2 linked regions of the Mus musculus genome follow. The protein of the gene in region 2 purifies or fractionates together with the protein of the main gene of each other region. This does not show direct contact. Links are inferred from orthologs where the notes say so. Each region holds a gene or a part of one and is shown on either strand. Other genes may lie near its edges.

Evidence for each region. The genes of interacting proteins can lie anywhere in the genome.
Region 1: the proteins of Ticam1 (region 2) and Tlr4 purify together in Homo sapiens (affinity purification with western blotting; 3 studies listed by BioGRID). This does not show direct contact. The link is inferred for Mus musculus from reciprocal best matches to the Homo sapiens genes TICAM1 and TLR4.

Annotation. Positions count from the first base shown.
Region 1 is NC_000070.6:66,824,492-66,832,984, reverse strand, and holds the start of Tlr4 (toll-like receptor 4 precursor), read right to left. Parts: upstream 5,435-8,493; 5' UTR 5,154-5,434; coding exon 5,064-5,153; intron 1-5,063.
Region 2 is NC_000083.6:56,269,244-56,276,022, forward strand, and holds the end of Ticam1 (TIR domain-containing adapter molecule 1), read right to left. Parts: intron 2,975-6,779; 5' UTR 2,851-2,974; coding exon 652-2,850; 3' UTR 219-651; downstream 1-218.

The DNA of each region.
Region 1 (8,493 bases), on a different chromosome or scaffold from region 2:
GAGTCCAAAGGTTACGAACTTTACTGTGATACTGTGATTCTTAATGTCAAAAGCTACACCCATAAAGTTTCACTGACATGGCTGCCTGCACATGAGATGTAAAAGGCCAACAGCTACACATGTGCAGGAGTCTTTAACACTACACAAAGAACTAAAGAATACTGAGTGTGGGACAAAGTTTTGCTTGTGTGCTGGTTTGACTTTATAATATCTTCTGTGAACCTCGCTAGTTGTATGTAAAAGCCATGTTAATGTATGCTTGTATATACTTTTATGTAAAATTATTGTTGTTCTAATTCATCATTTTCATTATATACAGCTACATGGAGAGTACCAATAAAAATATACAGACATTTCCTAGATTCTGCCTTATTTTTTGACAATTATTTTTGTTCTTAGATTCATTGACTTTCTCAGTTTGGTCCTGGGATCAGAGGCTGTCTTATAGTGCATGGATTCCAGTGGTAGAAAATTGTACTCAGGGTTGAGTGTTTTCTCTATCATAATCTCCACTAGTTTTATCTGTTTTCTCACATTTATTGTGAACCCTATACCATAACATTTCATGTAATATCATAATTATATGATTTCATCTGGCAAAATGCTTTGCTTAACCCAGTGAGTTTTGTTTTCTCTTATTTAAAAGCAATAGAATTCTCAAAGGGCTAAATGAGATCAGAGCTTATCTCAAAGCTTGCATTAATTAAAGTGATAAATATTAATGTTAATTATCATTGGTTACTATTCATTCCTTGCTACATATTAGCATTTACTTACAACTTATGTATTTTATACTAATCTTCAAAAAATCCTCTAAAGACAAAGAAAATAAAAGAGGTGGGGTAATACACATATAGTCAGAAGATTCATACATAAACAGGCTTCTTCACACACATCTCCCTAAATGGTACTCATCATCGGATCCTTGAAGGCAATGTATCTAAGAGAGTAAGGCATCAGACAGAAATTCTTCTCTCACCCTCTTTTGTTTCCTTTACAGATTTTGATGACAAGGTAAATCTCTTGCCTATATAGTTATTTTCCAGATGCTTTTCATTTATCAATTGAACCATGAGCATTGATGCTCTGATGATTTTTGTTTGCTATTTATCTTCAAGGCTCAGAAAGGTACATGGTGACCTCTCAATGCTCAATAGACATTTGTTGGATGAATGAATGATAAATATTGTGTAATTGGTGGGACACCAGCCCGTATAAGTTAAATAGTAGGCTTTTTCTGCTAAAGGCCATGGGTGGTACAAGAATACATGTTACATGATTTCTGATGGCACTGCACTCATAGAACCAGCTAACAGAGAAGAACATGAATAAGAACTACGAAAGTTGCAAAGACACAGATTCTAGATTCAGAAGGAAAGCTGATCAAGGAAATGTGTGGTAAAGGAAAAAATATGTATGTCAAAAGGAGAAAAGAACATAAGCAAATAATAACAAGTGGGAACAAATGTAGACAAACTGGCAGAGCCTTCTGTCATGGAGAAGCCACAGGCAGAACACGAGGACATCAGATGGTGTTCAGAAGTCATTCTTTCACTGGTTTCACACATACTACACATACAACTGAAGACCTATCATGATCTAGGCCAGTGGTTCTTAACCTGTGGACTTTGACCCATTTAAGGGTCAAACAATCCATTTACAGGATCACATATCACATATCCTGCATAGGGGATAGTTACATTATCGTTCAACACCATAACAAAATTATAGTTAAGAAGTAGCAACAAAAGGAATTTTATGGGTGAAGGTCACCACAACCTGAGGAACTGTACTAAAGGGTCTTAGCGTTAACCACTGAGAGGCATTGGTGACATGCTAACAAACCCAGCAGTAATACTCCCTTCTTGTTTATTCTACACAAAGGGGAGAATAAATGGTGGAAAAATAAAAGACAAACATACAAAATGATATGATCAATGAAAGAGCATATGGAGAGGGTAAAGGGGAAAATGTACATGAGGCAATCAAGAAAAATCAACCTGAGGAGACATTCACAGAGAAATCTACATAAAATGAAAAAGATAATCCTGAAATCAAAGCTCCACATTAGAGTACTGCAGCTATAAGCCACACATAGCTATGAAATATGAAACACGCATAGGAGAAATCAAAATGTCCAGTAAAACAAAAATGTTGCTGAATGTCTAATTTCCTGTATCAAAAATTGAACATAAGGTATCTTCGTAATTGCTTAACTATGTGGTAGGATTTCCCCCTAATAAACATTACAGGAAACCAATCACTAGATGAGTAGGTGGGACTTCCGAGTCGGGAAGAGGAAGAGGAAGAGGGAGGCAGGAGTAAGGAAGGTCTCTTTGTGGATGGCTGAGAGCATTAGAGGCACATTGCAGATAGTCGGAGGCTGTCAATTCAAGTGGTGGATCCTCCAAGATCTGCCACCTGAGGATTTTGTTTGTTTGTTTTTTGGTTATTTTACTCATTTACATTTCAAATGTTATCCCCCTTCCCAGTTTTCCCTCCACAAGCCCCCTACCCCCTCGCCGTCCCCCACCCCCCTACCTCTATGAGGGTGCTCCCTCACCCTCACACCCACTCCTGCCTTAACAGCCTAGTGTTCCCCTATCCTGGGTCCTCAAGTCTCCACAAGAACAAGAGGCTCCTGAGTCGGAGGATTTTTAACATAGATTAGTTTACAAAAACAGTACAGGGGAATGGCAGAGCCAGGAAGCAGGAGTGGGTAGGTTGGGGAGCAGGGCAGAGGGGAGGGTATAGGGGGCTGTGAGGATAGCATTTGAAATGTAAATTAAGAAAATATCTAATAAAAAAAAATTAGGATGCTAGGTTCTGCACCCAACATTGTGTTACCTGTTGATTGTAGACCAAGTGTGTGTTGTGTTTTCCTTCACATGGCAACTCAACTGGGCTCCAGAGAAAAGTATGGTGGTAGAGTGTGGTGTGCAAGAGTACACCCCAGCCAAAATGAACTAACCAGTACCCCCAGAGCTCGTATCTCTAGCTGCATATGTAGCAGAAGATGGCCTAATCAGCCATCACTGGGAAGAGAGGCCCAAACTTTTTATGCTCCAGTACAGGGAAACGCCAGGGCCAAGAAGTGGGACTGGGTGGATAGGGGAGCAGGGTGGGGGGAGGGTATAGGGAACTTTCAGGGTGGCATTTGAAATGTATATAAAGAAAATATCTAATAAAAAAAAAGTACACCCCAGCCAGCTGCAGGAATTTGGAAATGTGGGGCGTGCTTGGCATCAGCCAGCCATGGTAACTTATGGAGCCTGGTGAAAAGAGCAATTTCAGAGCTCTGGAGACACAGAGCAGGCATGGGTGAGACAGACCCTGGCTAAAGGAAAGAACATGTTCTCCTCGGCCTGTCCATAGGGCTGGAGACAGACCTGAGGCTAGTGCTTAGCCAGTGTTAGTGTGGGATGCTTTTATTATATTTCACGCATCATAACTATATTTAATTGCATAAAAATCATTGAAACTAATTTGATGCATTTATTCTTAATTTTTCAATTTGATCAACAGTGAAGTTTTAAACTATATACAGGGATTCCATAATTTTAGCATGGTGAGCCTTGACCTAGGTGAGGGATGATGGTGTGTGTAGTTAGCTTAGGCAGTGCTAAGGCCCTGTAGGATGAAGCAACCATCATGGTTCCAAAGAGTTATTAAGAGTATAAAGGAGTAGTTTGATAAATCTAAGCCCCTGGACCAATAACAACAAATAAAGAAGAAACTGTGTGTGGGTATAGAAAGGAATATGAACTAGGAAACCAGTCAGGAATCACTCCTGAAGACAAGGCCAAGGGCCCTGAGACCTGGCTTACAGAAGGAACAAGCAAGCTTTGAGAGTTGACAAAGCACACCAGACACCAAGAGCAACGGGATTTTATCTCAGTGTAGCACTGATTGGAAATTCCATCTCTGCCAACATAACTGAGGAATCAGAAAGCAAGATACTGTGATTATAACTTTTTAAAATTAACAGTATTTTTCCCCATGTGAATGTCATGTATCTTAACTCATTGAACCAGTTTTGAGCTTCTGAGCCTACCTCACCCCGAATTCCTTCCTTGTTTGCTCAGTTCTATTGTGAGCTTCTAAGATAATTGCGTGGTCTGTGCAGGAGGAAAACAAGAATGAGTCATGGGTCAGATTACTCACGACTCAGTATTCGACCAAAACGGGAGTTACTGCCTTAGCAGTAACTAATTGATGTTTTAAGTTGCTCTGTCCCTCTCCTTCCCTCACCCCTCCCATTTCTTTATCTCCTAGAATTAGTTGCAGAATACTAAAATCACTTAGAAAAGTCTTTGTGTTTTTGTGTGTTTTGTTGTTTTATTTTTTAATAGAAATTCTTTCATTTAAGACAATTGTTCCCTTTATTCATTTGTGTGTGTGCTCATGCATATACACACCTGCCAAGGCAGACACTTGCAAGTGAGAAGACATCTTAAAGGAGGAGATTCCCTGCCTCTAACTTGTGAGGCTTGAGGCTTGAACTCAGATTTTCATCAGGCTTGGCAGCCACTGACCTTACCTGCTGAGCTACCACTCAAAGCATCTCAAAGATGCTTCGAAAGCAGCAGAAAAGACACAGCTACCTTCACTTGATTTGGAAAGGGAAGGAATGACCGCTAAAAGCTGAGTGGCCAGAGTTCCCACAGAAAGCCCTGAAATTACAGCCTACTTACATTTTTCAGTGATTACAGTCATGCTTTCGTCCCGTGAATACTGGCCTCAGAGACGTTCAGTAAGTTCTTTAACGACTCTCAGGTATGTCACAGAACAATGACTATAAACTAGTTTTACTAATTTCAAGTCCCTAAATCATGACTCAGACGCCTTAAATGAAACAAGACACCCCTGGCTGCCTGTTCCTGCCCTGTGTTAACACTGAGGCTTTTTGTTGCCAAGGCTTCTCAAGTTTTTGGTTAGTTTAACTCCTTCGTGCAAAATAAACTAAGCAGAGCACACACAGGGAGCTCTGAGCTGTGGATAGTTTTGAGAAACAAGGCAGGCTAGCAGGAAAGGGTGTGATCACATGCGATCAAGACACATACCTCTATGCAGGGATTCAAGCTTCCTGGTGTCAGGCAGGAGAAGAACAGTGCCATGATCAGAGTCCTAGCCAGGAGCCAGGGAGGCATCATCCTGGCATTTTCTGCAACCAGTGGAGGCCATGAGAGAACATGACGATCTGTAACTGGTGGCAGCGCAGAGTCCCTGGGACACCTGCCTCTTCCCTCCCAGTGGGTGCCCCTCTGCAAGTACTATATTCAAAGAGGAAGTGAGAGTGCCAACCTTAGCATTCTCACTTTTGGTTTTGTTCTAGAATCGATCTGCCCCGTCGCAGGAGGGAAGTTAGAAGACTGAAGACTAGAACAGGAAGAAGGCGTTTGCTGACCGACTGGAGGAACAGCAAGAGGAAGCTGGCTTTCATCCCAGGAAGTCATCTGACCTCTGGGCTTGGTGAAGGCAGGGAACTGGCGTGGAGCAACATCCTCATTCCTTCTTTATTTTCAACAGAGGATGCTTACTGCTTCAGTTAGACTCCCAAGTCTCCCAGAGCACAGTATTAGGGACTGGATGTTTCAGACTAGAGGAACATATTTTCTCACAATGCTAGAGATTAAAACCCAGGATGAAGATATCATCAGTTGCCGTGTCTTGTGTCATGATGCTTTCTTTTACCTATGTGTGTACGTGTTCATTCGTTCACGGGGGGGATGTATATTTCGTGTGTGTGTGTGTGTGTGTGTGTGTGTGTGTGTGTGTGTGTGTGTGTGTGTGTGTGTGTAAAAGCCAGAGTTCACTATTGAGTGCCTTCTGCAGTTCTCAGTTCTCAATCTTCTTTTATTATTAATTACTATTTATTATTGGAAACAGGATCATAGTGTTTATTATTAAAAGGAGAACGTTCAGGAAAGATAGGAGCAGGCTCGTGAGCTGTGGGAGAAACTCAAGAGGCTCCACCATTGTTTTGGAGCCGAGGTCTCTAACTGAACCTGGTACTGATTCCTTGGCTATACTGACTGATCAGTTAAGTTTTGAGATCTCCCACCTGTAGCTAGCCTTTTCCCAGTGCTGGAATTATAGATATCAGCATTCGGGTTTTTGTTGTTTGTGATGTTGTTTTTTTACGATGTTTGCTTTTTATTTGTTTATTTATTTCATTTTTTTAAATGCTGTTACTGAGGATCTGCAGGTCTTCATGAATTTGAAACATTTTATCAACTGAGATATCTCCCTGGCCCCTGACCTCTTTTTTTAAAATAATCAGTTATATTGTATTAAGGCAGACCCATAAGACATTAGTTTACTTTAATTATCTCATTAAATTCAAGTCATAGGACATGGCACTGGGAGATGAATTTTTAAATTGCAGTCACAGAAACAGGCACAGCCTATGAATTTTAGGGAACAGTACATAATTCTACATGTGACACTGCTAGTGAAGAAGTAGTGAAGGGAATCAGAAGTTGCTGAAGTAAAGGTCAGGTCAGATGACTAAACACCAGATCACCTTGTCCAAATGATTTTATTTCCTGAGCCTCATTTTCAGCCCTGTAAACCTGAGAACAGTTTTTACCTCCCTCCTTCTTTACATATTTACATTATTTGACATATCTAAATACTAATATTTAGAATACATACACTTAGAAGGCTATGTGATTCTGCTTGGATCATCTGTGGACTGCTGGCATGTGGTAGCTTCCCAGGGAAGCTTCTGATAAGAAGATGAAAATACCAGCAACCTCCAACCTCCACTGAGACTTCAGGAGAACTGACCTGCATTATGAAACTTCTATCCCCAAATCCCCCTTTTCACCATATAAAACCCAAGCCCCCTGCAAAATTATGTACAGTCTCCACTTCCATGGAGAGACTGGGTCCCTTCATTGTTCTGATTCAAAGATCCATCTGCCTCTGAAGAGAAAAAAAAAAAAAAAGATGCATGACAGCAGTCAAGCTATACAAGCCAGTTCTCCATTTGCTACTATGAGAATGAAGGTATAGAGTTGGGAAGATAGCTCATCAATTAAGAGTCATTTCTGCTCTTCTGAAAGAAAGGGGTTTGCTTCCCAGCACCCATATGCTATCCCACAACCATCTGTAACTCTAATTCCAGGGAATCTATTTCTCTCCTCTGACTCGCATGGACACTGCATGTGATAGTCATACAAATATGTAGGTAAACACTCATACATGAATGAAAATAAAAAGAAAAATCTTTAAATAAATAGAAGATTATCTATCTTGTGTGGTTGAATTAAATTAATCATAGCACAGATCCTCATTATATCCCATAAAAGACAACTATGGCAATTATAAAAATAAAATGTGGGCAATATAAGGATAATCATACTTCCTCAAAGAGTAGTTGTAAAGCTGTTAGAGCCATGCCTGAGGAAAAGCAAGTTCATATAAGTTTCTGATGAATAGAAGGATAAACATCACTAGTCCAGTCGATACCCCCAAGGTGTGTCATAAGAACCTCAAATGTATTTTAGCTACAACAAAGCTGCAAAAGTCTAGATCACCATCAATCAGGTTAGAATTCTCTCAGCTACTCCTTTCCAGGGGCTCTGTGGAGCTTCTTGGCCACAAGTCTACATACAAGTTCAGTAAGAGACCCTCTTCCTAGGGAATAAAGTACAAAGTCACAGTAAGACACCGAAATCCTCCTATCCTTCACATGCAGATACATAAATCTAAGTACATACATGGGGATATGACAGACACAAACAAGCAATCAATGAATTAAAGGACAAAATCAAAATCTAGCTTTTTAAAGTTAATCCCTTCCTCATCCATTTATCTCACTACACATTTAGAAATTGTGCCAAATTCTAGAAACTTCAAATGTAAAATAATTCTAAAATGAAATTCCTCACTGACTATGTCTCTTGGCCTAGGCTAGAGAAAAACATTGTAAAATAGACTTAAAGAATCTAGACTGTCATCTTCTGAAATCTTAACTTTCCTAACCCCCCTCATCCTCCAATCAATGTCTGTAATGCATACCAAGTAGAGTATGTCTTTGCTGCAATAGTAATAGTGCTTAGATCGCCAGCCTTCCCTGAGAAGGACCAGATATAGCTGTCTCTTGTGAGACTATTCCGGGGCCTAGCAAACACAGAAGTGGATGCTCACAGTCAGCTATTGGATGGATCACAGGGTCCCCAATGGAGGAGCTAGAGAAAGTACCCAAGGAGCTAAAGGGATCTACAACCCTATAGGTAGAACAACATTATGAACTAACCAGTACCCCAGAGCTCTTGTCTCTAGCTGCATATGTATCAAAAGATGGCCCAGTCGGCCATCACTGGAAAGAGAGGCCCATTGGACTTGCAAACATTATATGCCCCAGTACAAGGGAACACCAGGGCCAAAAAGGGGGAATGAGTGGGTAGGGGAGTGGGGGTGGGTGGGTATGGGGGACTTTTGGGCTAGCATTGGAAATGTAAACGAGGAAAATACCTAATAAAA
Region 2 (6,779 bases):
GGCTGCCGGTCCCCACCCCCAAAGACTACATTTCCTAGAGTTCCTTGCAAAAGAAAGTGCCGTAGCCTAAACTGACCAATGGGATGAGTATATTTACATAATTTCCGTTTCCTGCCTCTCAAGGACTGGGTCAGCCGACCTCCTTTTCTATTCCAGTCATGGCAGAGTTGTCGTATCCTGCTTGTTCCCTGAAGACGATAGAGTGTGGTGACGCTGGCTTATGACTCAGTTGTCAATAACTTTATTATAAAAACAGGACCCTCCCTATGTGCCCCGGGACCGCATCCTCCCCAGAGAGACCCTATGAACAGCATGTGTCACAGTGAATGAAGTTTACGAGGCTGCGCTGAGGGCACCTCAGAGGTGCCTCTGGCCCCATCATCCTCTGTCCACATAGAGGATTCAGATTGGAGTCCCACAGTCTGTTCAAATGGGGTTTCTGCATGTTTCCCAGGCCTGATTTATAGGTGTGGTCTTCCCTGCCTCTGGGGTCTCAAGCTGGGTCCAACTAATAGCCACTGTGGGAGCCCAAGCTAAGTCCTCTGGCTACTCTGGGGACCCAGGCGAGGTTCCCTTCCTCCACTATCATTTTAAGGACCCAGGTGAAGTCCAATCTTGTCACTCTAGCCATCTAGGTGGGGTCCAACCTGGTCACTCTGGAGTCTCAAGAAGGGGTTCGCCCTGATCAGTCAGAGGGCCCATACAGGGGTTCTCCGAACACTCAGTCTTGTCATCAGATGACTGGGCCCCTGTGTGGCCCCACATGTGATTGTTGACACCCAGCTGAACCATCTGGGCATGGTGAATAATGAGAGGCTGAGGTCCTGGAGTCTGTGGGGCTGGGGAGGAGGCTGATGGAAAGGATTGGGACTGTGGGGAAGAGACTGGAGGCAGTGGGAAGGATGGAGGCTGAGGGAAGGATGGAGGCTGAGGGAAGCATGGAGGCTGAGGGAAGGATGGAGGCTGTGGGGAATAGGGGAAAACTGGAGTACCACCCTGAGGATGAGAAGGTATTGGCTGTGGACATCCGGGCCAGCTGGGTGTTGGAGTCCCCAGTGACAAGTTCTTCCCAAAAGCCACCCCAAGTTTGTTCATCTCTGCTTGCCAGGCCCTATAGCTATGGACATAGGCTGTGTAGGCAGCAGATATGGCTGCCACGTTTTGCCGCTCTGCCTCCAGCTGTATGCTCTGCTCCTTGAGGGTTCTGGCCTCCTGCGCTTTCTTCCAGCGTACCCGCTGTGCCTGGAGCTTCTGTGTCTTGAAGGTGTTTGCCACCTTTCTGGCGAAGATTGGGGAGTGTTCATCCAGCCACACAATGCTGTGGAGCAGTCTGGTTGTATCTGGGCTGAGCTGGGCCTGAGAACACTCAAGTGGGAGGAGGGGGATCACACAGTCCTGCCTCCCAGACTGTGTAAGGCTGTTCATGAGAGCATGGTTGATTTGATGCAGGCTCAGGCTGCAATCAAAGCTAGCAGTCAGGAGCAGGATCGTGAACCCCGAGTGATCGATGGCATCTTGGAGACAGTGCAGCTCACCACGCCCGGGCACCTGAAATTCCTCACAGAAGGTGGCCCCGTCAGGTACCCCGAGGGTCTCCAGCTTCTCCCGAATACGTAGGGCCACCTGTTCATCAGCCCTGGCATGGATAACCACAAAGTTATAGAATTTCTGATCAGATGTTTCTGAGTGGTCCAAAACAGGGGATGTGGAGGTTGGAGGAGCAGGGTAGCTGCTCGGGGAGGAAGCAGAGGACAGAGGGGAAGGAGGCAGCTTAGGGGAGGCTTGGAGGGATGGTGGCTGGGCAGGAGGGCTGGATGACGTGGTGTTCTGCAGAGAATCATCTCCTACAGGAACCTGAGGTGACCTCTGACTTGTAATAGGCCACTGCTTTCCAACACTTTCTGTGGTGGACGTCAGGGGAGACCTGGAGTTTGTAGACAACTCTGTGCATTCAATGGGACAGTGGACACTTGTGTCTGGAGCAGCCAGGGCGTCAGGGAGGATGGGCGAAGCCTCCTCTGGAGACACCTCTGGAACGCTAATTTCGTGTGGTAACCCTAAGGAGACACTGGTCTCCACTGATGGAGGCCAGCTTATCTCCTCAGGTTCTTGGCAGCCTTCAGGGACAAGCTGAGGCTCCTGAGTGTCCAGCGGTGTGTTACATAGCTTGCTGGGCCCATGGGTTCCATGGTGTGAAGAGAGAAAGGCAAGAGTGGGTGACTGGCTGATCTCTAGGTGGCTGGCCAGTGAGGCAGTGCTGTTGGTGGAGTGTAACGTATGTCCCCAACTCCAGTCTGGTGTGTCAATGGGACGAGGCTGGCTTCTGGTCACTGCAGGGGATGCTGAAGGTGGCTGCAGGGAACCCTGATGAGAATGGAGTGGCTGGAAACCACTGGGGTCCCCCTTGATATCTGAACTGCACCGATCCCAGGCCTCATTCTGGAGTTGGCCCAGCTGGTGGTCACCCTGGGAGGCAAAGTCACGAAGGGCCACCTGGTAAGCCATGTCCCTTGTGGAGGCCGGACACAGGTTCTCCTCAGCCAGCAGGTGGTACAGGCGAGCCACCGTCCAGGACAAGTCTGGAGGCTCCTCAGGGCCCTCTGTGGTCTCCATGTCTGCCCACTGGTGGGCTACCAGCTGGGCTACTGTGTTCATCTTCAAGGACTCCAGAGAGACCCTGGCCTCCGTGTCCTGGCCCAGAGCCAGGAGTACCATGGCATGGAGAAGCTTTGACTCCTGGCTGCCTGAACACAGACTCCCCAGCTTGTGTTTCAGGTGGGTCAGCCTGTCCCTTTCCAAGGCACCTAGAATGCCAAAGGCACCACGGAGCGAAGGCCCTGGGTTATCCATGGATGGGGGAGAATGAAGCCTGGAGCCACAGAGGGTGGGGTGGGTGGAGACATGTTCCGAACCGACAGCCTCCCACACAGCCTCGTCCCCTGCTGCAAAGATGCTGGAGGGCGGCAGCACAGACCTGCAGGAGTAGGAGTTCATCATGACTTTCCAGACAAGATGCTGCACCCATTCAACCCCAACCCTGGGAGGCAGAGGCAAGGGTCCCGGGCCTGTCAAATCAGGAAGAGGGCTGAGTCCATGGGGTAGAGTGCTGTTGGCTGAGCACTCATGGAGCACCAAGTTCCATGCCCAGCGCTGCATCTACAAGGTGTGGTGATGAGTGACTGCTCTTAATGAGTGGGTGAGTGGATGTGGCATAAACTGGCATACCCTCAGGTGGACAGTCACTTATTCCCAGCTCCCTGTTCACAGCTGAGAAGACCGCAGAGCATCTGCCAATCCTCGGGACCCTGACACCTCTCCTGCCTCCATAGGCAGGCTGGAATGGGGGGTCACTGCCTGCTCCGCTCAGGCAGGGACAGATGTGGCTGCTATGACCAGAGAGCCCTGGCATAGAGTGCGTGAAGGCCAGGGAAGCATCTAGCAGCCTACAATGCCCCAGAGAAAATGCCCAAGGCAGAGGACCCTGGGCTAAACCAGAAGTGGACAGGTCAGTCAGCTAACCCACAGACTTTGCACACAGATGACCTAAAGCCTTCAAAGACCTGATTTTGAGCAGCAGAGGTGGGGCCGGGCTCAGTGCCAAATTCATGAGAGCCAGGTAGGCAGAGGGAAGGGCCTTACAACCGTTGGCAGAGCAACAGTCACAGGTGGGAGTGGTAACAGCTGATGGCAGACCAGGAATGAGAGAGAGAGCTGAGAGAGAGGGTGACCACCTTCTCTGTGGCTGCTGGGAAATGGGGGCAATCAGGTGTGGCTATGCAGGCAGAGGCAGTGATAGTGGAGACAAAAGAAACAGAAAAATATAACCCTGGGCCAGAGAAAAATGGGTAATGTTTGCAGCGGGTCAGTGCTGCAGAACTAAGCCGGAAAGGGTCAAGAACTCCAAGGACTAAGGCTTGTGTTTATAGATCCCAGGGACACAAAAATGGAGAAGCCTGAGTGAAGGGTGCAGCTCATATAAAGGCCCTGGAGCAGAGGACACACACAGCCCTAGCAACCAAGTCCCAGTCCTGACTTCCCCACCACACCAAAACTCTACCCATTTCTAGGACACTCTACTTCCATTCTCACGTCCAGCCTTCTCACCCCGCACTTGTGCAGTCCCCTCATAGGCTGACCAGTTCTCCCACACCTACTGTGTCTGGCCACTTCGGCAGGAGATGCTGCTGACCTCTGTCAGAGCAACAGGAAATGAGAACAACCGTGTAAGGTCATTTCAAGAAATAAAAGTGCCCTGGAGGAAATGAGCCTGAGACGGAACCCGGGGTGAAGGATGCCTCAGGGAGGGCACCACAGAGTTGATCGCCCCTGAAGGTGAGTTCTTCCGGAGAGCACTCAGTGCAAAGGCCCTGGGACACAGGGCTCAGCCCCATGTACAGCAAGAGGATCCTGGCAAGCTGCAGTAGTGAGGAGGCCGGAGCAGAGGGAGGCAGGGCAGGAATGGCCAGGGCGGCCAGGGCCTGGTGGGCTGCAGGGAGGTGGGAGCCCAGGAAAGCTGTGGGCAGGTCACAGGGAGGAAACTTTCATCTATGCTCATGGGAACCCTTTGTGTGCTGTGGAGAGGATGGACTGTGGGGTGAGGGGGCACCAGTCAGAGGATACAGCATCGTTTGTCCCTCTCTTCTCTCTGACCTTACTGCGCTGTGACTGAAATGCACTGTCCTACCTCAGGACCTTTGCACGGCTGTCCCTCAGACAGCAATAGCAACCATTTGGGAACAAAACCTCAGTGCAGTAGCCCACTGGCCTCCCCAGTGGGCAACTCTCTCAACACACCTGCTGGAGTCATCTCTCAACTCTTCACAACCTCACACTAACTAATGTCCTCCTACCTGACCAATCTGGGGACTCCACAGGGGCAGGGCTCTGATACAACTGTCTATAGTTCCTGTATCTAGAGTGCCTGACACACAGTAGGTGCACAATAACTGCTCCACGAGGGTCGACAAGATGGCTGGGTGGATAAGGGTGCTTGAGAGGCTTCCACGTCTGAAGATCTGAGTTCAGTTCCTGAGACCCATGTGGTGGAAGAACAAAATGAAATAAAAATAAACCGATGGGCCTGGTAGTGCACGCCATTAATCCCAGCACTTAGCAGTGGAGGAGGCAGGAGGATCTCAGAGTTGAGGCCTCCCTGGTCTACAGAGTGAGTTCCCAGGGCTACATAGTGAGAACAATAGGAACAGGACAGTGCCTGGTACACAGCCAGTGCCTAATAAGTGCACACTGAGGTGTGGAGCTGCAGTTGACTTGACAGAGCGCTTGTCTGTCATACATGAGGCCCTGCATTCAGCTCCCAGCCAGGAAAGAGGATAGCAGCAGAGAGAGGAGAGAAAGAGAGCAGACAGGAGAGAGAAATGTTTATTGACACACTGAGCAGTGAATAGACAAAACAGAGCAGGACACACAGTACTTGTGTTTTATTTGCTTTTTTTGTCGCTAAGACAGGATTGGGCCTTGCACTATGTAGCCCAGCATAACCTTACACTTCTGATCCTCCTGCCTCCACCATGTATGGGCAGCAGCTTCCTCTTGTCCAAGCTATATCTGAAAAGCTGAGACAGAGGATTTCTTTCTTTCTTCTTTCTTTTTTTTTTTTTTTTAAAGATTTATTTATTTATTATATGTAAGTACACTGTAGCTATCTTCAGATACTCCAGAAGAGGGAGTCAGATCTCGTTACGGATGGTTGTGAGCCACCATGTGGTTGCTGGGATTTGAACTCCGGACCTTTGGAAGAGCAGTCAGGTGCTCTTACCCACTGAGCCATCTCACCAGCCCTCTTTCTTCTTTCTTGTTTTGTTTTTGGGTTTTTTTTTTTGGGGGGGGGTTGGTTTTTCAAGACAGGGTTTCTCTGTGTAGCCCAGGCTGTCCTGCACCTCGCTCTGTAGACCAGGCTGGCCTCAAACTCCAGGCTGGTGAGATGGCTCAGCGGATAAGAGCACCAACTGCTCTTCCGAAGGTCGTGAGTTCAAATCCCAGCAACCATATGGTGACTCACAACCATCTGTAACAAGATTTGACTCCCTTTTCTGGAATGTCTGAAGACAGCTATAGTGTACTTATATATAATAAATAAATCTTTAAAAAAAACAAACTCAGAGATCCACCCTCTTCTGCCTCCTGAGTGCTGGGATCAAAGGTATGTACAACCACTGCCCAACAACAGGAGGATTCTTGAACCCAAGAGATCAGGGTCCACTTAGGTAAGTTCCAGGTCAGCCTGGTCAGCATAGTGATACACCCTGTCTTAAGATACAAATAACACAGCTGGGCGTGGTGGCGCACGCCTTTAATCCCAGTACTCAGGAGGCAGAGGCAGGTAGATTTCTGAGTTCAAGGCTAGCCTGGTCTACAAAGTGAGTTCCAGGACAGCCAGGGCTACACAGAGAAACCCTGCCTCAAAAACCAAAAAAAAAAAAAAAAAAAAAAAAAGATACAAATAACACAAATGACACAAAAATAAAGGTAGTTATTTTTAAGAGAGAGGGAAGAGGAAAGGGGAGAGTAAGGAGAGAGAGAGAAAGAAGGAGGGAAGGAGAAGGGGAGGGGGAGGGGAGAGTTAGGAAGAGGGAGGAGATGTGCTCAGTGGGTAAAGCACTCATCCAGCATGCCAGTCTGGCAATGGTGGCTCAGGCCTTTAATCCTAGCACTTGGGAGGCAGAGGCAGGTGGATTTCGAGTTCAAGGCCAGCCTGGTCTACAGAGTGAGTTCCAGGACAGCCAGGGCTACACAGAGAAACCCTGTCTCAAAAAAAAAAA